3 linked regions of the Pelodiscus sinensis genome follow. The protein of the gene in region 2 interacts with the protein of the main gene of each other region in a biochemical or structural test. Links are inferred from orthologs where the notes say so. Each region holds a gene or a part of one and is shown on either strand. Other genes may lie near its edges.

Region 1 (7,944 bases), on a different chromosome or scaffold from region 2:
AAAAACTATGGTCCAACTGGCTACATAACCTCTCCAAAGTCTGCATGTGGCTCATTACCCTGAACAGCAGTCCCTCCAGGGAACATGGGCCTTCTGACTCCAGTTCCACTGATAATGATAAAATACTGATTTCTCTTGTGCAGCTGAGATTTTAATAAATTCTGCTTATCACTTGTAAAGTAGTGAATTTCTGACTCCTCTTATGTCAAGTGTACCCATGTGCAAAAGTCTGACAGCATTCTATTGGACAATGAATTAGGCCATTTTTACAGTCCAATTTATATTATTTGTCCAAAGAAAGATTAGGTAGTTATTTTATTTCAACTAGACTTTCTGACTCATGAAAACTGAAACACAAAAAGTACATAATTCAGTTTTGTAGCTGCTAGCTACAGTTCAGCACAGCAACTTCATTTTATTAAAAAATTAGATTAAATTTATTCTGATTTACTCAGGGAATTTAGATAATCCTTTGTAATGAGAGAAGTGGCTATCAAACCTTGTATTATGGATCACTCTTTTGAGTTACATATCCTCCTGTATCCCATATAACTTTGCATAGTCAGTTACAAGGCTTGAGAATCTAGGAAACAGCACAGCTTTTTAGCAGTAGGGGCAGCACTTTACAGTTAAACTACTATCAAAGCATAAACCTTTGCTCAGTCATGCAGTGGTGAAAGTAAATTAAAAATCTTCCCAGGACAGGAGCCGCATGGAGCTTTGGGAGAAGGGCAGGACTCCGGACCAGCATCTGCCAGCCTCCCCTTTAGCACTGCACAGTGCGTATCACTTGGGGCTTTGGCAGTAATTTAAAGGGCCCAGGATAGGGTCCGGCAGTACTGCCATGACAGCACTTTATTGTCAACGATGTATGGGCAAGTACTGGCAGCCACTTCTTACCGGTATGCTATATCAGCCTGTACTGGGTACCGGCCCATTTTCGTCTCTGCAAACCGGTATCCTTAACAGGGTCTGCACTTCTTTAGGCCACCACTAGGTTTTATATCCATAGCAGAAGGTGCTAAAAAATCCAGCTTCACATTTCAACTCTTCCTCATTATGTCAGCTCTCTGGGATCTATTTTTGTGAACAATTTCAGATGCTAAAATTCTATTTCCCTTCCGTACCTCACACCTGAAACACTCAAATAACATTATGATGGCCATGATACAAGAATGCAAATAGATTTACATTCCTAAAAAATTCTGTAAAAGAACAGGAAGGATACAAAGTCAATTACTCAGAAGTTAGAAAATGCTATAATTAAATTTCCATGCAGTCTTAGTTTTACCTCCTTGTGTTTATGTATTATGAAAGTCTTGCTCAGGAATGCACAGAAATCCTGTGGCAGAGATAGGAATAGAAACCCATTCACTGAATTTTAATCAAGTGTCTTGAATACAAGACATTAATCTTTCTTTTCCTGCAATCTTCTGTTCTACCATCCTCCTAATGGATTGACTGAGGCATGGAGTCTTTCAGCCCAAGTAGTATGTGAACATGTAATTAAAGACTGTATCACAGCAGACAACTATGAGTCTCAAAAAATAAAGCTCCATCTGTGCAGATGCAATTACAGCATCAGGATCTATACCATCAAATTCAATGCACATTTGACCTACTACTGTATGGTGTCTTATGAGGTGGCTTCTGATTAGAGGTGGGCAGAAGCCAAGAACAAAGGAATGACCATTCTGTGTCAGACAAATGGTTCATCTAGCCTAGTATACTGTCTTCTGATAGAGGCCAATGCCAGAAGCTTCAGAGAGAATGAATAAAACAGGGTAATTATCACGATTCTCCAGTCCCAGCATCTGGTAGTCAGAGGCATACCTATAGCATGGTATGTCATAGTCAGAGCATGACGTCCATAACATTTGGATTAGAGTTGAATTTTCAAAAAGCTGAGGTTGTTCGTGTCTACAGGTATGGACTATTATAAGAGCAAGATAAAAGGTTGATGTTCCTCAGGTTAAGGACTGTGCTTTTTTGGCACTTCTCCTTCCAACAATGAAAAATCACCAAATCAGCAACAAGTCTGACATTAGACCTGTTGTTTTATTTGTTCTCCAATGATAGGTAATTAGTCCAATGTAATAATATCAGTTTCCTTAACTCATGTTTGGAACTACAGTGATAACAAATAAACATTTAAAAATTGCATATTGTTATAATAGGAAAAGTACATTTTCAGTCTTTTTGTTTTCAAACACACCTGACTATTTTTGCTCAATTGTCTTTCCACCTCTCACCCCCCACTTGCAAATATCAGATTTTGAAACAAATAAAGCTTCTGACATTTCAGCACTGGAAAATAATGAAAAAGAGATTTATATGTAGCTTAACCACTATAGTTGTTACTATAGTCACATAATACAACAAAAAGAGTACAGCATCTAAGCATGATTCATAAATAAAATATTAGCTTTACACTTGCACAGGCTGGCATGTGGATAGGACTTAAGCAGAGAGGGAGATGCTGAATTGAGCAGTTTAAGTTTGGTATGTGAACACTTTCCTCCAAGTGGATTTTTCTAAGAATTCTGAAAAAAATCCATCTAAGATGGATTTTATATTGCCTGCCATTTTGAAAGCTAGAAATAAATGTAGCCATTAAATATAGGCAAAATGCTAGTGACTATGATCTTTGAAAAATGCTGAACATAAATCAAGATTTCTTAAAAAAAAATCCTGGAAAATATGGTTTTTAAAATAGAAAATAATATGGTTTTTAAAATAGAAAACTAAGAAAATAATATGGCTATTGGCATAGACCAGTGGTGCGCAACCCGTGGGTCGTGACCCCCAAAGAGGTCACAGATATCTTTCCGGGGGGGGGGGTCACAGTGTTTAGATCCGTTGGCAGCCACACGGTGTGGTGCTTAGTTCCAGCTGGCTGGGCGCAGCGCGGCACTTAGATCCAGCCAGCCGGTGGCTGGGCCCAGCAGTTAGTAGCCCCCATGGTGCAGTGCCTAGATCTGGCTGGCCGGGGGCTGGACCCAGCAGTTGGTAGCCCCCGCAGCTTGGGGATTGCAGATCAAAAAAGGCTGCACATCACTGACATGCACACTACAAACTAAGGCCCTGATCTTGCAAAGACAAAAGCACTCTCCTCCTTATAACTGCCAATTTGCGTAAAAATTAAGTGTATACATAAATCTTTGCAGGATCAGGGCCCAGGGTAGATCTGGGTACAGAAACCCCAGTAGTGGATACGTAATCTGGGGGAGATGAGCCAGGGAAGTGCAACTTCTGCAGCCCTACTCGCTGTACTATTTTCTGTCTGTTTCTTTGGGCTCAATTCTGAAAGGTTCTGAAAGCCCACAATCATCACTGAGATCAAGGGATCACACAAAAACTCAGGCCTTTAGGTCTAATACTCCAGTCATTTCTGCGTATGTGGATCATACTGCAAAATCAGGATATTAAGACTTGGAGATAGAGCAGCTGGCAAATTTGTTTAAATATTTTTTCTAATAAAAAATCTGCTTTTTTCAAAAGTGACAAAAGGTATCCATTTTAAGTGAAATTTCATTTTGGAAAAAATATCAGAATGAAGGGGCTATAATATGTTCACATGAAATTCACTGATTTATATCTAAAACATTTTGAAAGGTCAAAATAAGAGCTAAATGTTTTAATTCTAAGTGGAACATTTTGGTCATCTCAAAATGTTTTCTTTTGGGGAGGATTTCAATTTTTAAAAATTTCAGTTTCTGATTTTGTTTCGTTTGGGCTCAAAATTTGCTGAACTAGACTATTAAACCCTTTACTTTAAATGCAAGGTCTGTTCTCTCTGCATGGCAGTCAAGTCCTAAATTTAGTGAAGGAAGCGCAACAAGAGGGGGGGGGAGGTAGCAGCTAGGCAGAGAAGCACCAGTGAAGCCCAATGCAGTAGACAGGCAAGAGCTAGTATGTGGTGAGATTAGGGAGTGCCCCCCACATCTTTCAGTACAAAGTGACATGTGAGGGGGCTGCCCCAGGAACTTTCAGTGCAGCATGGCATGTTGTGGGTGACCCAAAGCCACCCAGTCGTGTATGCGGATCACCTCAGGGCTGCAGTGACGAACCCAGGCCGCAGTACCATGCAGTATAGTGTGGGGAGGCACCCTAGAGTCACGCAAGAGCCTGAGGGGATGTCTCAGGCTAATGCACTGAGGCGTGGCATGGGGAAGATGCGCCCCAGATCTGTACACTGCAGCGGGGCACGATGGCGCCCCAAGGCCGTGCATGTAAGGTGGCATGGGGGGAGAGGCACCCCGGACCACGCATGAAACGCGGAACGGGGGGAGAGGCGCCCTAGAGCCATGCAGCATGATAGGAAGGGGGGGGGGGGGGGTCGCGCAGTGAAGCATGGAAGGGAGCACGCGACGGGGCTCCCCGGGGCCACGCACCGAAACGCAGAGACCCTGAAGGGAAACGCAGCTGGAGGCGGGGTAGCGCCCCCCAGCTCTCACACGAGGTGCGGGAGGCAGAGAGAAGCGCGTCGCTTCTGGCTGCTTCTAGGACCTTCTGCGGGAAGCAGGGTGAGGGCGGGAGGCAGAGCCCGAGAGGCGGGACTTACAGAGGCTGATGGATTCCGCCTCCTTCTAGGATGTTCGGAGGGGAGGAGATCGGCTCCGGCTTGCAATGAATGAAGTCACCTTGCAGCGTGCGCACTAGCTCTCCCCGCCCTTTCCGAAGCCAACCGGTGACAGTTGACCTCGCGCAAGCGCATTTCCCATCCCCGTCTTCAGAGGCGACAATTGGAAATGGAGCGCGCGTGCGAGCCGGGCTCCGCATGACGCATGCGCAGTCGCCTCAGCGAGGCGCCAGACGAAAAACGCATGCGCAATCCGAGAACGGTTCGCCCAGCGCACGCGCATTTTGATCGCAGCAACCGCCCCCCTCCGTCAGCCCCTCCCCCAGTGATGAAGGTTGGAGTTACCCACCCCCGTGCCTGTCAGTGAAGGTTCCCGATGGTTCTGGAAGGAGGCGGCGCCGGGAGTATATAAGCCGGGCGGGGGGCGGCGAGCCGCCAGTTCCGTTACTGCGGAAAGAGGAGGACGCTTAACTTAGAGGAGCAGGAGCCCCAAGAACACTCACCGCCAAGGTGAGGCGCGAGGAGCGGTGGCTGGAAGATCGACCCCAGGATGGTTTTTTCCTCAACGGGCTCGTTCTCTAGCTGAGCCTGGAACCGTGGCTTAGATTGATGGCGGAGCCTTTCCGCGCCGTGTGGTGGAGCAGGCTGCCCTGCTTGCGGGGGTGGGCAGTGCGGGGGGGCGATGTGAGGGGCGCAGCCCACAGTGCCTGGCGCACAGCGGTGCTGGGCGTTAAGGGGCGTTCGTGGCCCTTAGGTGGCTGCTGAGGAGGAAGAGTAGGTGGGAGCGGGGAGACGCAGTATGTAGGGGGCCCGCCCCCTTGGGTACCCGCCTGGCTCACATGCAGGGGGGGGATGATGGAGACCGGCAGCAGGAGGAGGGGTCTATTGGGAAGAGGGCTTGTCGCGCGGCACGGGGGGGGCACCGGCTTGGGGAGGGGAGGGTCCGCTGGGCGCGGGACTTGCGCTTGCGGCTGGGGGGGGAGGTGGAGGTGGAACGAGGGGGAGGAGAGGAAGGCTCTCGCAGTTTCTAGAATCTGTTCCAGGTCTGGATCTGTAGGGGGCGCTGTGCTCCCATGTTTGTCAGTGCCCACTCTCCCATGCCTGTGGTGTCTAGCCTGCCTGAACTGCTGTAGAAAGTACCCTTGGGGATCTGGACTGACCCAATTCTCGGTGGCTATCTGTAGTGCAGTGCATTTTACTAGTTACTGCAATGGAAAAGTAGCTAGTGAGGTCTCCCTTCAGTTGGATTTGATTTAAATGCTGCAGTGCAAGTTTAAACAGTCATGGCACTGGGCTCCCCTGACTGGCAAAACCAGTTTTTCCTGCATGACCAATAGATTGTTACCTCTGATGTATAGATACCTAGCAAGAGATGGCACTCTTCTCTGTTAAAAGAACCTGTGTTGTTACAAGCTGAAAGTGTATGAGCTATAATGTTCTGTGGTCTTTAGGAGAAAGCTCCCAGTAGGACTGAGTATTCAGCCAAAACAAAAAAATTGACTATTTGACACTAACCAGATTATCCAGGTATGTCTTGCAAGTCACATTCTAGATCCAAATGTTGTATAAAGTGAAACTTAATTTTTGAAAGTTAGATTCTGTAATGTTAACTTACTGTATTCAGCACTTAGTATTGTTCTTGCAATTCTGTATGCTCTGAGTTTTAAAGATGCATGGTAGGCAATTGGACAAATTACTGCCACATTAAACCTTCGTCCTCTTGAGGAGCTGAGACTTGTACTTATCTGTCACTGACAGGCCTTCCTAGACAAGGGTTATAAATGAGCTGGACTGCCCTTTGCTGCCAGCAGGAAGAGCATACCAGTTAGGTTTGTCTTTCTTAGTTGAATATTTAAAATGCTATATGCTGTCCACGACCCTTTCCCAAAGTGGTGGTGCTTGTTAACAGCAGTTTAGGTGGTTGAACATAAAACGGAGCAAACATTAGTATTCTTCACCTAAGAGCCATTCTTAAGAGCTTAAAGTTATAACTTCATTTTAATTCTACAGATGCCAGAAGCTGTGCAGACTCAAGACCAGCCAATGGAGGAGGAGGTGGAGACCTTTGCCTTCCAGGCTGAAATAGCTCAGTTGATGTCTCTGATCATCAACACTTTCTATTCCAACAAGGAGATTTTCCTGAGGGAGCTGATTTCTAATTCATCAGATGTAAGTAAGAAAAATGTCACATGCAATCAGTGACATTATTACCTTTAAATACAGGTAGTGTGGTGAGGGGTCTGATAGTTGTATTCTTGTTTTGTAGGCTCTGGACAAAATCAGATATGAGAGTTTAACTGATCCAAGCAAACTAGATTCGGGAAAAGATCTGAAAATTAACCTTCTTCCCAACAAGCATGATCGCACCCTGACCATTGTGGATACTGGCATAGGGATGACCAAAGCAGACTTGGTTAACAACCTGGGTACTATTGCCAAATCTGGCACCAAAGCTTTCATGGAAGCATTGCAAGCAGGTGCAGATATTTCTATGATTGGTCAGTTTGGTGTTGGCTTCTACTCTGCCTACCTGGTTGCTGAAAAAGTAACAGTGATCACCAAGCACAATGATGATGAGCAGTATGCTTGGGAATCTTCTGCTGGAGGATCATTTACTGTCAGACTTGATAATGGTAAGTGCTAACTTGGTGTTGTAGAGGTAGTTCTAAAGTAGTCCTTTATAGTATAAGGAAATCCATGAATAGAAGGCTCTTCAAGGTGCTACAGCTGTAGCATATAGTATCTTGTAATACTAGAATGACAGTTAAAATAACTGCTTCTCAAGGGTGATATATCTTAATCTGCAGCAAAATTAATTAAGCTGTAAGCCAGTTACAATAGTACCATAGCAGTAGTCTTCTGTTTGTCTTAAACATCTTTCCAAACATTTACTGGTGCTTACTGTAAAACTCAAACCTTATTCTAGGGGAACCTCTTGGCCGTGGTACGAAAGTTATTCTGCATCTTAAGGAGGACCAGACTGAGTACCTGGAAGAAAGACGAATCAAGGAAATTGTGAAGAAGCATTCTCAGTTTATTGGCTATCCAATTACACTCTTTGTAAGTGTTCAGCTTGGAAAGCTAACACAATTTTAACTGGTGGTAAAGAATGTTAAGTGAGTACAAGGTTTAGCCATAATAACTTACAAAAATGATTCTGGAGTCAGATGGACCAGATATAAGTATATTAATGACTCTTAATGTGTAGTATAGACATTTGTCTACAAATCCTAAATAAGAATCTTCTCTCCCCTGTCCCTCCACCACACGCACTTGCTGTTGGACTCCTGCCAAACAGCAGTGCTTTCAGACCTGATTCTCTTGACAGCCACAGAATAGGGTGTAAAATGTGTAACCTAAAC
Region 2 (7,842 bases):
AGAGCAGTATGATTACTCAGAGCTCCAGTATATAGAGGGAGAAAAGCCAGTTGAGAGTCTATGACTTAGTTTAGAGGTAGAAGCAACAGGGGTGATGTTGTGGTTAGTGTCTGCTATAGACCACCGGATCAGGTGGATGAGGTAGATGAGGCTTTCTTCAGACAATCGAGAGAAGCTTCCAGATCACAGGCCCTGCTTCTCATGGGGGACTTTAATCACCTTGACATCTGTTGGGAGACCAATACAGCAGTACACAGGCAATCCAGGACATTTTTGGAGAATGTTGGGGATAACTTCTTGGTACAAGTGCTTAAGGAACCGACCAAGGGCCATTCACAGCTTGACCTGCTGCTCACAAACAGGAAGGAAATAGTAGAGGTAGGTGACAACCTGGGAAGCAGTGATCATGAGATGGTAGATTTCAGGATCCTGACCAAAGGAAGAAAGGAGATTAGCAAAATACACACCCTGGACTTCAGAAAAGCAGACTTTGACTACCTCAGAGAACTAATGGGCAGGATTCCCAGGGATGCTTACATGAAGGGGAAAGGAATCCAGGAGAGCTGGCAGTATTTTAAAGAAGCCTTATTGAAGGCACAGGAAGGAAACCATCCCAATGCACAGAAAGAAAAGCAAATATGGTTGGTGACCAGATTGGCTTACTGGGAACGTTCTTGGTGAGCTTAAAAAAAAGGAAGCTTACAAGAAGTGGACACTTGGATAGATGAGTAGGGAGGAATATAAATATATTGCTCAAGAATGCAGGGGAGTTATCAGGAAGGTGAAAGCACAATATGAATTGCAGCTAGCAAGCGATGTGAAGGGTAACAAGAAAGGTTTCTACACGCATGTTAGCAATAAGAGCGATCAGAGAGGGTGTGGGGCCCTTACTGGATGAAGGAGGTAACCTAAGGTATGTCTACACTAGCCCCCTAGTTCAAACTAGGGAGGCTAATGAGGGCGACCGAAATTGCAAATGAAGTGCGGGATTTAAATATCCCGCACTTCATTAGCATGTTCCCGGCCGGTCGCCATTTTAGAAATTGACTAGCCCAAAGTAACTGCCCGCGTCTACACGCGGCAGTGAAACGGGATTCCAAATTAAAGCTCTAAATCGAATTAGCTGTTATTCCTCCTGGAATGAGGTTTAACAGCTAATTTGATTTAGGGCTTTAATTCAAAGGGATGGAGGTGGACAGCCGTTGGTGGGGAAAGAACAGGTTAGGAACTATTTAGAAAAGCTAAACGCACAGAAATACATGGGTCCAGATTTAATGCATCCGAGGGGACTGAAGGAGTTGGCAAATGTCATTGCAGAGCCTTTGGCCATTCTTTGAAAACTCATGGAGATCGGGAGAGATCCCGGATGATTGGAAAAAGTCAAATGTAGTGCCCATCTTTAAAAAAGGGCAGAAGGATAATCCAGGGAACTACAGAGCAGTCAGCCTTACCTCAGTGCCGGGAAAAATCATGGAAGGGATCCTTAAGGAATCCATTTTGAAGCACTTGGAAGAGGGGAAAGTGATTAGGAATAGTCAACATGGATTCACGAAGGGAAAGTCAACAACGGAGTTTGTCAACAACTGTATCAACAACTTGTAATGAGCTTAGCAGTGAAAAAGAGAATGAAGATTGGAAATTTGCAAGAGAGCTTGGATCAAGGAATTTATTTTGTGGATAGGGCAGATCACAACTTGCTTGTAGTGAGTGTGAAAGGAGCTAGATAATATTGAAAGGTTAAGGCAGGAGGAGGCTACAACAGGGCTATGCCAGTTTAATAGGCTGAAAGGAATGGGAGGTTCGTGATAAATGGAGGGAGAAAAGAACAAGCAAGAAATCTCAGTTTTGGTCATGGGTAAAAGAGAAAAGAATATAAAAGGTGGGAAAAGAGCAAGGAAAGAGATCACAGTGCATCTTGCTGATCTTTTCCTTGAAAAATCTTGGTAAGATCTTACATGGGGAGAAACAAGAGTAAATGGGTCTGAGGAAGAAGTTGAAGGTGGTAAATAAAATAGGAAACAGCTGCCATGGACATGGCAATCAATTTGAGTGGAGAAACAGGTCTGTTTGGCCAGTAATATGACAAAACAAATGGAGAATTTGTCTGGAAATGGGTGACAGCAGAGGGATCACGTGTGGATTACCTGTTGTGTTCCCTCCCACTGGAGCATCTGGTATTGGCCACTGTCGGCAGACAGGATATTGGGCTAGGTGGACTGTTGGTATGACCCAGTATGGCTGTTCTTATGAGAAAAGAACAAACCTACTCAAGAAATACTTTGTATTCTGTTATATTACATTTTCAATAAGTTTCTGTAAGCTTCATGTACTAAATATATTTTCTATATAGTTTTATAACTCACTTTGGAATTTGCTGCCTCTTAAAATTTTATTTTAGCTGTCAAGTCAATACAGTGGCTTTGCTATATTTTGCCACACCCATAGGTTGAGAAGTAAACACCTGAGTCACCAAAAAAGACTGATAATTGACCAGAATGTTTTGTGCTATTCAGATTGCAATTTCCTCAGTACAAGGACTATTATCACCTTCTGTTTTGTACTGAATTGAGCATACTATCAATACTGAACAAATATTGTAATGACAATCAGCTGCAGGGAAGCTTTAGAATTACTGAAGCTTAACTGTACAGCTTTGCAGTTATAGAGTTCCATGTGTTTGTTGATTCTTGCTGTCTGATTTGCATAAACACTAAACTATTCTCTTAGCAATTACACAGCATAATTACTCTTAGCATATTAATATATGCACTATCGTTAATTATATCTATCAGCAAACCCAAACAGAAAGATTTGCAGAATCCTGTGTTGGTTTTAATAACCCCAGAACAAATATGCAGATGGGGTTACCAATTGTTTTAATCCTTACACTCTGGCAAGCTCCTGTAAGCAACACCAAAGACACTGCCTCAGTTTCTCACTCCTTGTGGCTGAAGTAGAGAACTCTAAAATGAACAGTGCTGGGGAAACCTAAAAGCAAGAAAAATATGTTTCTCTTTAATTCATTTCTCTTTTGGAGGCCCATGCTTCCCTGGAAACCAATGAGAACTGTGCAGGTGATTTCAATGGGAGCAAGATTGGGTCCTTTTCTTTCACTGCAAGTAAGCAGGGTTTTTATTTTAGCACAGACTTGTATATAATTTGCTTTTTAGTTAGAGACTGCTGCCACTGGCTGAGTTTTGACAAACTGTATTATTACTTGGGGGAAAAGAACCTTGCTGATCTGAATTACTTTAATCAATTACTTTAGTCAATCCTATGCATTGCTGCACACTGAGCTACCCCTATTTGTCATCCTTGCCTATCAATTGGCCTTCTCTTCAAATGAATATGTAGAAGGGAGAAGAAAAAATAGGCAGTTAGAACTGTTAATTGCTTGAGTTTATTGTGATTAAGTCAAGAGAAATAACTTGATTTTAAAAAAAATATAGCAATTAGTCACCATTTTCATCACATTGTTAAACAAGAATACCAGCTGGAATATATTATAAATATCTGATGCCTTTCTATACTTTCAAACATTCATTTCAATTACAACACAATACAAAGTGAATAGTGCTCACTTTATATTATTTTGTATTTAAGATATTTGCCCTGTAAAAAGATAAAGAAATAGTATTTTTCAATTCACTTCATACAACTACTATAGTGCAGTTCCTTCATCATGAAAGTGGTTTGCAAATGTAGAATTTTCTAGTTACATAACTACACTCAAAAACAAAACAAGGTCAATCTTAAAAAACGTACAAGTCCACTCAGTCAGTCCTAACTTCTTGTTAGCAATTGGCTAAGACAAAGTTTCACATTTATGGGGGATAATGCTGCCTGCTTATTTACAATGCCACCTGAAAGTGAGAACAGAGATTCTTTGAAGGCAATGTTGCAAGGTAAATTTACATGCCAGACTTGCTAAATATTTATATGCCTCTTCATACTTCAGCCACCCTATCAGATGACATGTTAATATTTTATTTTAGAGTGCAGTTATGTAAAACAATAGTGCAATTTAGTGGAATTAATGGAATAGTGGAATTATTTTTGCAATAAAGACACTGCACTACAGTACTTGTATGAGATGAACTGAAAAATACAATTATCTTTTTACAGTGCAAATAAAAATATAGAATGAGCACTGTACATTATGCAATTGAAATCTCTGCAAATGTAAACATAAATAAACACCAGTAGAATACATGGATCATGTAACAGTATGACAAACCGCCAATAATTATTTCTTTTAAATCTCACACTTAACCATGACAGGATTTCATTGTTTCACAGCCCTTAACGAAAGGGCACAATTGTGCCTGAACAGCAAGACGGAGGAGCGCTTTAGCAGCCCGTATCGCTTGCAATAATTTTGTTTTTCCTTTAAAAATGTAAAGCCACAACGGCTGATTGCGCCTCTGACACCCCGAACGAAACAGGGGAAATCATGGGCTGAGGGGAGAGCACGAGCCACCCTCCTTCCCCCGCACCGCAGGACTCAGAGCAGGCCCAGGCCCCACCAGCACCCCGCTCCTGCCTCCCTGCGGCGGCTGCTCACGCTGCTGTGGAGCTACGGGCGGTGCCCGGACGCGAGCAGCGCCGGGGCCTGTCGGAAGGTCCGGGGCCGGGTCATTGTCCTTGCTGGCGGCGCTAGCGAGGCGGCGTCCAGCTGCGTGCGGGGCGGGCTGTTCCTAGCGGGAGGCGGCTCTCGGGGCATGTCCGCGGGCCTGACCTTCCCAACATGGCGGCGCAGGCGGCTCCCTCACGTAGGCCGCCGCCGGAGCCTCCCCCCGCGGGGCGTGGAGAGCAGGGGCCGGGCTGCTGGGTGGCTGGCTCTGCGACCGCGGCGGCAGCGGCCGGGGGCGGCGGACTGTGGCAGACGTTTGCCTGGCCCGCGGCGGCCGCACCGGGGCAGAAGCATCGTCGCACCCTGCAGCGGCAGCCTCGGGGCGCGCTGCTGGCTCGGCCTCCATCTGCCCCGCCAGGAGAAGCCGCCGCTGCCGGGCAGGGGGATCTGGAAAGCCCCGGCCGCCCCCGCACCTGTCCCCGGGGCCGCAGCGGGTTGGTGGGTGTCGCCGGCGCTGATCACCTGGGCTCCCGCCTTCCTTCGGCCGAGCGGAGCCGCGCTCGGCGCGCTGCAGACGGGCAGGGCAGGGCCGGGCGGCTGCGGGCTGCGGCGCCGAGCGGGTTCGCCGGGGACTCGCGGCTGCGGTGCGGGGAGCCGCGGCGGCAGGATGAACCCCAATGTCACCTACGCCAGTCGCAAGCGGCGGAAGCCGGTGCAGAAAATGTAAGAGACGAGCTTGGGCGGAGCAGGGGCGGCGGGGGGAAGCTCCTGGCCCTAGCGGGGCTGTCAGTGGCTCACCCAAACCGGCCCCTGGCTGCGCCCCCCGCAGCGGCTCCCCGCTCCCCCAGCGCCGTGTGGGAGTCTGCAGCCCGCTGCGCTTGGGCCTCGGGAGCTGGGGGATTGCAGCACCGCAGGCAGGGGTTACCCGGGGGCCGTTTGCTGCAGTGCCTGGTGCGCTTTTGCGGGGCTTTTTTCCCCTCTCGGCGGCTTTGGGGCCCCCTTGCCACAACGCTGGGCGTAGGCGTGACTAGTCGTGGGGCTCCGGGAGGTCCCCTTTTCAGCCTCCTCCCCCAACAGGGAAGTCTGTAGCTAGTTACGTTCAGAGTCCTGTTGTGAACAGGCACCGATGACCCAGTTGTGTAAGGATGGTGATTAAAAGGGAGAATGAGGACTTGGGTGCGGGGGAGGGGAGGAAGGAAGGAAGAAGAAATGACTTTAGGTTCAATGTGGCTGGGTTACCTGACCTAGACTAGGAAGCATTTAAGGTGGCTGTCCCTAGCGATGGCTACCCGAGCTCCCACCAGTTCAACTAGTTGTGAAAACGTAATTAAACGACACATGCAGTTTTAAAAAAAAAGTCCTGTTGGTCACAGTGATGGAGCAATTTCTTGTTTTGCTTAGCTGCGCTGCGGCGAGTGTATGTGTAGTTGTGTTGGGTGCACGGCTGCCCCTTCTCGTCCCCACTTGGATATGTGTGTAGGTTACAAGTCACTGCTGCAGTGTATTTGTCTGGTACTTTCTGGTGTCCTTTCTGGTGATCTGAGAAAGTGGGTCTGGCCCACGAAAGCTCATCATCTAATAAACCATCTTGTTAGTCTTTAAAGTGTTACATAGTCCTGTATTTTGTCTGGTACTGTGACTTTTAACTAATCACTTACACTCTGTATGAAGTCTTATACTTTAGATCCACTACCTGCCACCCCCTAAAATGTAATATATCTAGAGTGATGGTTTCTGAAAGTGGATGTCTCTGACAAGGTGCTTGGGACATGACAATAGATCATGTGTAATCATGTCATCCTGTTTTGGGAATATTTAAATAGTTTTTTCCTAAAGTTTTTTTATTTTGCCATTATAATTTATATTCATTTAATGCCAAGCAAACATAAAAATCAGAAACTATTGCCGCATCTTAAAAAAAATAAAATTATTATTTGGTTGCCTGAGTAAAGCTAGTTTTATTACACAAGTATAGACAGGATTGGGCCCAAGGCTGTACCTGATTCACTAGCAGATTCCTTTAATCTGAAATTAATTTTAAAGGAAATTGTTAACTTTCACATTTATCTACTACATAAAGATGCATAAATTAACCACAAATTTATGAAGTAATCTACTGAGCTGATGAGGGGGAAAAGACAACTACTTCTAACATACTTGAGTAAGCAAATTCCTTTATATCATTCAGCTCCCTGTTTTGGATCAGTTGAATGCATATTCAACCACAGCAGCTGCTATTGAAATATTTCTATACATGGATATTTTGCTTTAAGTGAAATTCTGTTATGTTTGTGGAGTGAATTAATCAGTGAAAAGCAATGTATATGATGATTTCTACCAAAACTCTGCAGAAGTGTCAGTAAATTACTTAATGTAAATGCGGCTAGTCACTTCCAAGCTAAAATATAGAAGTTATAGAACTGTTAAGCAATATAAATCTATAATTTAGAGAGAAATAGTTGCCCTATTTCAAGATATACAAGTATATAGGAAATACTTACCCTGTTTCAAGATATAGAAGTATATAGGAAATACTTACTTTTCCTACAGTTATGCGCAAGCGCAGTAGCACCTGCCCTACTGCAAATAACTTTCCAGCTCTGTTTACATACTTTCTTGACTAATCCTTTAAAGCACACACAAATCTTGATTTAAGGATCTGTTGTATAGCTATTCGCTCTTTTTGACCAGAGGTCTTAATGCTTTGTTTGCTAATAAATTCTAATCAGATCTGAAAACTGTTTCTACAGTATTTTTATACCTTCATATAAAAATGTCTGATCCTAAAGTTGCTTAGTATTTTATATTCTTTATTCTAATTTGCAACACTTACCATATTTGAATCTGAAGACTCTTTGTTATGTAAATCAACATATGAGTGGAAATTAAATTAAAAAAATTAGTCTTGAGGTGTCTTTGTCATAAAAGAGCTCCCTTTTTTTAGGACTAAAAGGGAAAATAAACCTTTTTAAATATTAAATATTTTTGTTTTTAATCTAGTCATAATTTTGTATTGGCTTATAACGTGTTTAAAAAACAGTTATATGTATTATTTACTATCCAGATGGATTGACAAATAACTTATGTAAGATTATTTTGTTTGTTCAGTCTACCTTTACTTATTTATTTCCCTTTCTTTGTTTAATTTTATACTGCCTTTTTATCTATATTCTGATAGCAGCTGTGGGCAACACTGTATCTGCAGGCCTGAGGGTTCTTATTTGCCCAGTTAAAAACTGATCAAAGTTCATACTCTTGGCCAAAAAAAG
Region 3 (7,719 bases), on a different chromosome or scaffold from region 2:
TGACGATCTGGGCTTTTTTGTGCAAAAGCGCGTCTAGATTGGCACGGACGCTTGCGGAAAAGCATCCGTGCCAATCTAGATGCTCTTTTCCGCAAATGCTTTTAACGGAAAACTTTTCCGTTAAAAGCATTTGCGGAAAATCATGCCAGTCTAGACGTAGCCTAAAGCTTTGATGAATAGATCCACACTCTTCCTTGGTAACCTGGTTGTAAGAACATAAGAACGGCCATACTGGGTCAGATCAAAGATCCATCTAGCCCAGAACCTTGTCTGCTGACAGTGGCCAGTGCCAGGTGCCCCAGAAGGAGTGAACCAAACAGGGAATGATCAAGCGATCTCTCTCCTGCCATCCATCTCCACCCTGTGACAAACAGAGGCCGGTGACACCACTCCTTACCCATCCTGGCTAATAGCCATTAATGGACTTAACCTCCATGAATTTATCTAGTTCTCTTATAAACCCTGGGATAGTCCATGTGTGAGAGGGCCAACTCACCACCACAGCGCCACCAGCCATCTGTCCTGGGAATTAGCTCTTTCTTGCCAGCTGGGTGCCTTCCCTCTGGTGGTATCTCCCCTCTTTCTCCCGCTCATAGCATCCTCTTTGGGACACTACCCTCCGGCAGTGCCCATATTAGTCTCTGATGCAGGGGTAGCCCTAGACTAGCTGCCAGCAACTGGAGCTCTAGGCAAACCACGCAATTGGCACCCCCACCCCCAAATCCCTCAATGATATTTCACCACCATTTGGCACCCCATTTAACTTGGTGCCCTAGGCGACTGCCTAGTTCGCCTATATGGACGGGCCACCCCTGTCTCTGAGCCCCCCTAGCGGGGGTAGTTGTTGTCCACTTGGCTCACACTCCAGGGTCCTCTCCTTCAGAGAGCCCCTGGTTGCCTAAGCTACACAGTTACCAGGGTCCCGGTCACAGGGAGCAAAGCCAAAAATGGCCGATTTTGAACACTTTTCGAAGTTGGAACTGAAATTCGGCCTAAAAATGCTGTTTTCCAGTGGAAAAAATCATGTTTGCTTAAACCCATTTTTCAATGGGATCTTTTTTTGCTGGGGCGGGGAGGAGGGAGGAGGGAGGCAGATTTTGACCATGTCTAGTTTATCATGGGGACAAACGGAGATGTGGTACTTATGAAAATAAGAATGGCAGCTGCCATCGTGCCGGCGAGGATGAAAACGAGACGGCAGCCTCATGCTCCACCCCATAATTCGATCCCCAGCTGAGGTGCCAGGAAGAAATGCCCTTCATTCCGTACACCCCCGGCATCGGACGTCCTTTTTAAAGTCCTGCAGCAGGAGCTGTGGAAAAGGCCGCTGTAGCAACGCCATGGGAACAGGCTCCCGTCGTAAACCTCCTCTTTCCCGATCCGGACGCAAAAAGGATGTTGGGACTGAACAGGGGGTGAGGAGCAGTTCTGGAGAGAGGCTTTGTGGAGAGCATTGATACCCTTCACAGAGAGGATCAGAACTCGTGCAAAACCAAGCCCTGCCTAGCCAAGGCCATTTTTATCACATCCATGTGGGAGACGTCCCCAGTGTAATCCAGAGTCAAGCCAGGTCCCCAACAGGGGATCAGATTAGATGAACTCTGCTAGATAAGATGATTACATAAACCTTACTGGATAAGCAGAAGCAAAGGTCACTTGTAGCCAACAGGGACAAACACCCTCAGAAACATCCCGAGCATAGGGAAGGCCAACTCCAGGGACGGAGCAAGAACAGTTCCCCCGCCTTCTCTGACCTGACCTGCCGTGTTTCACTGAGAACCTTTCAGAGAGCAGAAGAAAGTGGCAGCAAGAAAATCTCAGGTTTATTCAGGACTTGGCAGCCCCCCCCCCCCCCCCGCTGCCCAGATTGGAACTTCGTGGTACCACATCCTCATGGTGAGAGGTGAGACAGGCCCTGCCCCAAAGAGCTTACAGCCTGAATGGACAAAGGCGGGGAAGGGACACAAAGGTGACACAGCTGAGCTGGTATTAGGCCTCCCAAACTGATACCCTAACCACTGGACCAGACCACAGCAGATTAAACAGACACAGCTAATGCTGGTGCCCTCTGTTGGAATTGCTGCATCATATCAGACCAGTTGCCCTCCTCAGTCCGTGTCCTATCTCCAACAATGGCCAATACCAGCAGCTTCATAGAAAAGTGCAAGAATCTCCTTAATGGACTATTCTGGGGCCTAATCCATCACCCACTGATGTGCATGTGAAGACTCCCATTGACCTGAATGGGCACTGGATCGAGTCCAGAGGAAGTGAGCCCTAAATATCTTGGTTCCGATTCTGCCTCCCTTGAAGTCCACGGCAGATTTGGGGTGGACTTTATTGGAAGCCGGGTTAGCTCCTTTATGCAGGGAGGTACAGACAGCACCCGGAACAGACAATAGGTCTGTCAGATCTGATAATATAACAATACCCAATGTTTTGGAGGAATGCAAACAAAACCGAATGAGACACCTAACCAACTGGGTAAGTCTGTACTCTAGTGAGTGGGATATTTCAGAGCTGGCTTTTCACCGAACGAGCACCTAGAAAGGACCTTGAGTGCCTGGGTCTCTACTCTTCTCTGGGAAGGGAGATCAGCCATCCACAAGGCACTGTCCCACTGTTCCTGGACCCCCCCCACAGCCTCTGTACACGGGAAGTGTTGGATGAAAGGTGGAGAAAGGCAAGGACAAGTTGAGGAGGTGCTGATTTTTCAGTGCCCCTGGCTACTGGCGGCACAGCTGTGAAAAAGTAAATGCTACTGGAATGAGGTAGCAGGGCACCGGAGTATGTGAGAAACCTTGACGACACGGTGAGTCTGTGAGCTGGAAAGACCGTCATGAGCCCCAGAGCTGATGTAGAGGCTGTGGGTCATGGAATACACAGGTCTGGCCTTCTGGGATTTGCAGGTTTGTGTGGCCGGGTGCATCTGTTTTTGCACATCACTGCAAGGAACCATGTTTGCTGCAAGTGCCTCATCCCTCTTACACTTGCCTTCTTTTGTGTTGCAAAGTTTAATTTGCAGGGTTGAGGCCATAGCCCATACAGTGTTTGGGGAGTGCAGAAGACGCTACAGAAATGGAAGGCTTATTTCTTTTGCATTAACCAAAGGTGGAGTTAAAAATAACCTCACTTGCAAAAGCCCCGGGGGAGCCAATTTCCTCCTCATGACCCAGGCTCATGTAATTGATGTTAATAATTTATAAGGCCAAGGAAGTTAAGGGTTCATTTTCCAAAATAAAAACACTCTCCCATCACTGAAGGTCTGCCCCTTGCCGCCTCACTCAAAAATTGCAGCCGCCACTGGCAATATTAGCTCCCTGGCTGTCGGGGGAAAACCTGGCAGAATAATGGAGATAAATCTCTCCAAAACTTAAAACCAAAGAAATGGACCTGGGTAAGCAACAAATCCAGGCCCCAGCAGACTCGCTAAGAGCTGAGAATTCCCATGCTGGAGCCCTCCACTAAAAGCAGCCTGTTGCAAGGTCATCCACAGAAAGGGTTGTCACATCCTTGCCTGGGTCAGCCCAGTCCCTCCTGGGTATGTGAGGGTTTGCAAGCACCGAGTCCCAGATTATAGGACGAGAGGAGGGGAAGTGTATGGCGGGGAGGGGAGAGAGCGCTGCTCTGGGTAAGCGGGAAAGTACATGATCCCCAGGTGCGGGAGGGTATTGGCTAAGCCTCCAGGGGCGGGGAAGCACATGATCCAGGTGGGGGTATGGGTTCAGCCCCAGATGTGCACGGAGGGGGGGGGTAGCACATGATCCAGGTGGGGGGTATATAGGCTCAGCCCCAGATGTGCGCGGAGGGAGGGGTAGCACATGATCCAGGTGGGGGGTATATAGGCTCAGCCCCAGATGTGCGCAGAGGGAGGGGTAGCACATGATCCAGGTGGGGGGTATATAGGCTCAGTCCCAGATGTGCGCGGCGGGAGGGGTAGCACATGATCCAGGTGGGGGGTATATAGGCTCAGTCCCAGATGTGCGCGGAGGGAGGGGTAGCACATGATCCAGGTGGGGGGTATATAGGCTCAGCCCCAGATGTGCGCGGAGGGAGGGGTAGCACATGATCCAGGTGGGGGGTATATAGGCTCAGCCCCAGATGTGCGCGGAGGGAGGGGTAGCACATGATCCAGGTGGGGGGTATATAGGCTCAGTCTCAGATGTGCGTGGGGGGGGGTAGCACATGATCCAGGTGGGGGGTATATAGGCTCAGCCCCAGATGTGCGCGGAGGGAGGGGTAGCACATGATCCAGGTGGGGGGTATATAGGCTCAGCCCCAGATGTGCGCGGAGGGAGGGGTAGCACATGATCCAGGTGGGGGGTATATAGGCTCAGCCCCAGATGTGCGCGGAGGGAGGGGTAGCACATGATCCAGGTGGGGGGTATATAGGCTCAGTCCCAGATGTGTGTGTAGGGGAAGCACATGATCCCCAGGTGGGGGAAAGAACTCAGCCCCAGGTGGGGGGGGGGCGCTTAGCCCCAGGCTCAGCACAACCGCCCGCCCCAAGAAAAAAAACCGGGCTCCTGTCCCTTTAAATCCTTCCTCCACCACTCCGGTGACGTCACCCAACCACGCACCCTGACAACAAACTCGCCCTTTAAATCGCCCCCCCTCTGGCCACGCCCCCTCGCGGGCGGGGCTGGGGAGGCGCGTGCGGAGGCAGCCTCCCCGAGGCTCCAGGTGGCCCCGCCCCTTTCCCCTCCCTGCCCAATGGGGACGGGCCAGGGAGCGGGGCCCCCGGACGCGGCGCGGGCAGGCTCGGCTACGCCGCAACGGGGAGGGATTTTCTGCGCCGCCATCTTGGACGTGGCGGCGGGACCGAGCGAGCGAGGGGGGGCGGCCCGGGGCGATGGCAGCCGCCGCCAACCCGGGTGAGTGCGGGGCCCCGGGGCGCGGGGGGGCTTGGAGAGCCGGGCCCCGGGCAGCTCACGGGGGAAGGGCGAGGGCGGTGTGGGCCGGCTGGGGAGAGGGGCCAGGCTGGGGGGGGGGCGGCTGGGGAAAGGGGCCAGGCTAGGGGGGGGGCGGCTGGGGAGAGGGGCCGGCTGGGGGGGGGAGAGGGGCCAGGCTGGGGAGAGGGGCCAGGCTGGGGGGGGGGGAGAGAGGCCAGGCTGGGGAGAGGGGCCGGCTGGGGGGGGGGGGGAGAGAGGCCAGGCTGGGGAGAGGGGCCAGGCTGGGGGGGGGGAGAGGGGCCAGGCTGGGGGGGGGGCGGCTGGGGAGAGAGGCCAGGCTGGGGGGGGGCGGCGGCTGGGGAGAGAGGCCAGGCTGGGGGGGGGCGGCGGCTGGGGAGAGAGGCCAGGCTGGGGGGGGGCGGCGGCTGGGGAGAGAGGCCAGGCTGGGGGGGGGGGCGGCTGGGGAGAGAGGCCAGGCTGGGGGGGGGGGCGGCTGGGGAGAGAGGCCAGGCTGGGGGGGGCAGGCTGGGAGAGGGGCCGGCTGGGGGGGGCAGGCTTGGGGCGAGGGGCGGTGTCTAGGGGGAGGCCTGGGGGATGTCTGGGAGGGTTGGGGGAGGGGATGTGGCGTCTAGGGGGAGAGCAGGGGGGTCTGGGGAGAGCGGGGTACAGGAAGTGGCTGGAGAAAGGGTGGCTGGGAGGAGGTGGCTGGGAGAGTGCAGGGGGGGAGGTGTCTTGGAGGAGGGGTGTCTGGTGGGAGTGCTGGGAGAGGTGTATAGGGAGGGGTGTGGAGGCTGAGGGAGGGAAAGCAGGGGAAGGGGAGGCTGTGGGAAGGAGTGGGTGGAGGAGTGCTGTGGATGGATGGACTGAATTCAAGGTGGCGGAGGTCAGATTCTCTAGGCCAGATGGGGTCCCATTTTGACAATTCAGGAAGACTTGGTGACCCAAGGCAATTCAACAAGGGGGGGGGGGCAGAGACACTTGGCAACCTTTTTGAAATGTTATGGTGAAACCCTGTTCTAGGCAGAGGGTTGCGGTGGGTGTCATATTTAAGCTTAGAGGGGAGGCTTGGCTGGAGCCTTTAACAGTAATGCATGAGGTGGGGTTGGACCAACCCCTTCCCAGTGAATCCCTCCCCCCAATTTTTTCCTGCTGCTTTTTACTCCTTGTTGGATTATGTTGCTGGCTAGCTTGTTTCGAAGTAGACCCTGCTTCCCTTCAAGGTCGCACACATGCAAACAGCCCAGTCTGTTTTGATAGGTCTCTTTCCCATCTCTGTGAATTCATTGCTGGCTGGCATGCAGTAAGTGCACTCCAGAAAATTATCTTAAAAAAAATTGTTATTTTAATGGCTTACATTGGGGTGTTCTTTCTGCACATATGTTGATTTGTTTTTGCCCTGGCAAGAAATAAAATCTACTGTTATTAATTGCTTAAACTATGAGGGCACTGCAAACTGTAATTCATGGCAATAAAAACAATATCCCATTTCATCTCTTCTGAACTGATTGACAGGCAAAACTGATAATGTACATAGGCAAGAGAGGCAGTGCTAGTGTGCTTTTAACTTTCTAAACTCTGCCTAACACAGGAGCTCTTTTTTATGGGTGTGTGGGGGAAATCTGGTATTTCTGATCCTTGCTGATTATAATTGAATCTTTCATGCCTCATAAGTTTCTGGCTAAAACTTTCTCATTTGTTTTGGTGTATATCTGATGTAACTTCCCTGATGCCAGTAGAGTTATTGTGGATTTACAGTGTTGTAGCGGATTCGAATTTTGACCTCTGCTTGTGTTCTTTGAATTGTGGTGTTTTCTGTATATTCATTTGTGGCTTGAGGCTGATTAGGTCTTGGGCTGTGAGAGCGGTTCACATTCATCAAATATTGTTAAACAGAATTTTGAAGGATGAAATTTTCATTCTAGCTAAACATAATTTGGTATAGTAACCTTTTGTGGCTTTCAACATTGAGAAAGCACCTTGGGTCTTTAGCTTGTGGTGATCTTGAGGCTAGGGTGCAGCGCTGACGTCTAGAAATACGTGGTTGTGGTTTCACATGTAAAGAACTGAAATTCTACAACATACTGAAGTCAGTTCCCCTTGTTTGAATCATTGACGCTTGTGTTGCCATTTGGTCAGAATAGGGCAACAGATTGAAACTTAGACCTCCCTACCCCCCAATCCTGCAAACACATGTGCTTCACAAATCAAAGAAGCTCCTCAACATAAAAAAAGTTAAGCATGTAGGTGTTGACAGGACTGGAGCTTTATAAAAGAGATTGCTCCCTTCTTGTCTGCCAGGGTGGTGGGGTTTTTTTTTTTGGTGTTTTTGTTTGTTTGTTTTTAGTGTTGAAGTTTCTCTTGCAATTTCAAGAGCAAAAGAGATGTAGTTAAATCCATTGCCTGGTGCAGTAAAGCTGGGGGGGAGGAAACACTTCATAAAGTAAACCAGATTTTGTAGTACAATAATACTTCTGTGATCTGAAAAGTAAGTACACTAATGAGTATTTTGTATTGTTCACACATGACAAAATGTTTATGCAACTTCATCTGCTGAGTTGGATGATATTTAGCATTCGAGACACTCTTTAAACATTGCTGAATTCACATGTCAAAAGAACAAGTTTTCCATCCTCATTTATAACTTCATGGCTACAGTTTGACAAACACACCAATAATAGCTTGATTCTCTAAACAGGAAAAGGTATTTACTCTGAGTAATTATGCATTGTATACATTTAGGTTAATGTTAGTAAGATAAGTTATTTGTCTGCTGCTGTCCTTGCAAGCTTTGACCCCTTTTTTCCCTTTTGGTATTAAAAAGTGGACT

What was found. The genes of interacting proteins can lie anywhere in the genome.
Region 1: the proteins of AHR (region 2) and HSP90AA1 form a complex in vitro, tested with the Homo sapiens proteins (2 studies listed by BioGRID). The link is inferred for Pelodiscus sinensis from reciprocal best matches to the Homo sapiens genes AHR and HSP90AA1.
Region 3: the proteins of AHR (region 2) and ARNT form a complex in vitro, tested with the Homo sapiens proteins (14 studies listed by BioGRID, with this or other methods). The link is inferred for Pelodiscus sinensis from reciprocal best matches to the Homo sapiens genes AHR and ARNT.

What each region holds. Positions count from the first base shown.
Region 1 is NC_134714.1:22,309,284-22,317,227, forward strand, and holds the start of HSP90AA1 (heat shock protein HSP 90-alpha), read left to right. Parts: upstream 1-4,932; 5' UTR 4,933-5,092; intron 5,093-6,592; coding exon 6,593-6,751; intron 6,752-6,848; coding exon 6,849-7,215; intron 7,216-7,508; coding exon 7,509-7,642; intron 7,643-7,944. UniProt on the Homo sapiens protein: Molecular chaperone that promotes the maturation, structural maintenance and proper regulation of specific target proteins involved for instance in cell cycle control and signal transduction.
Region 2 is NC_134712.1:202,993,698-203,001,539, reverse strand, and holds the start of AHR (aryl hydrocarbon receptor), read left to right. Parts: upstream 1-4,830; 5' UTR 4,831-5,240; coding exon 5,241-5,296; intron 5,297-7,842. UniProt on the Homo sapiens protein: Ligand-activated transcription factor that enables cells to adapt to changing conditions by sensing compounds from the environment, diet, microbiome and cellular metabolism, and which plays important roles in development, immunity and cancer.
Region 3 is NC_134734.1:21,819,294-21,827,012, reverse strand, and holds the start of ARNT (aryl hydrocarbon receptor nuclear translocator), read left to right. Parts: upstream 1-4,707; 5' UTR 4,708-4,713; coding exon of another isoform or gene 4,714-4,852; coding exon 4,853-4,874; intron 4,875-7,719. UniProt on the Homo sapiens protein: Required for activity of the AHR. Upon ligand binding, AHR translocates into the nucleus, where it heterodimerizes with ARNT and induces transcription by binding to xenobiotic response elements (XRE).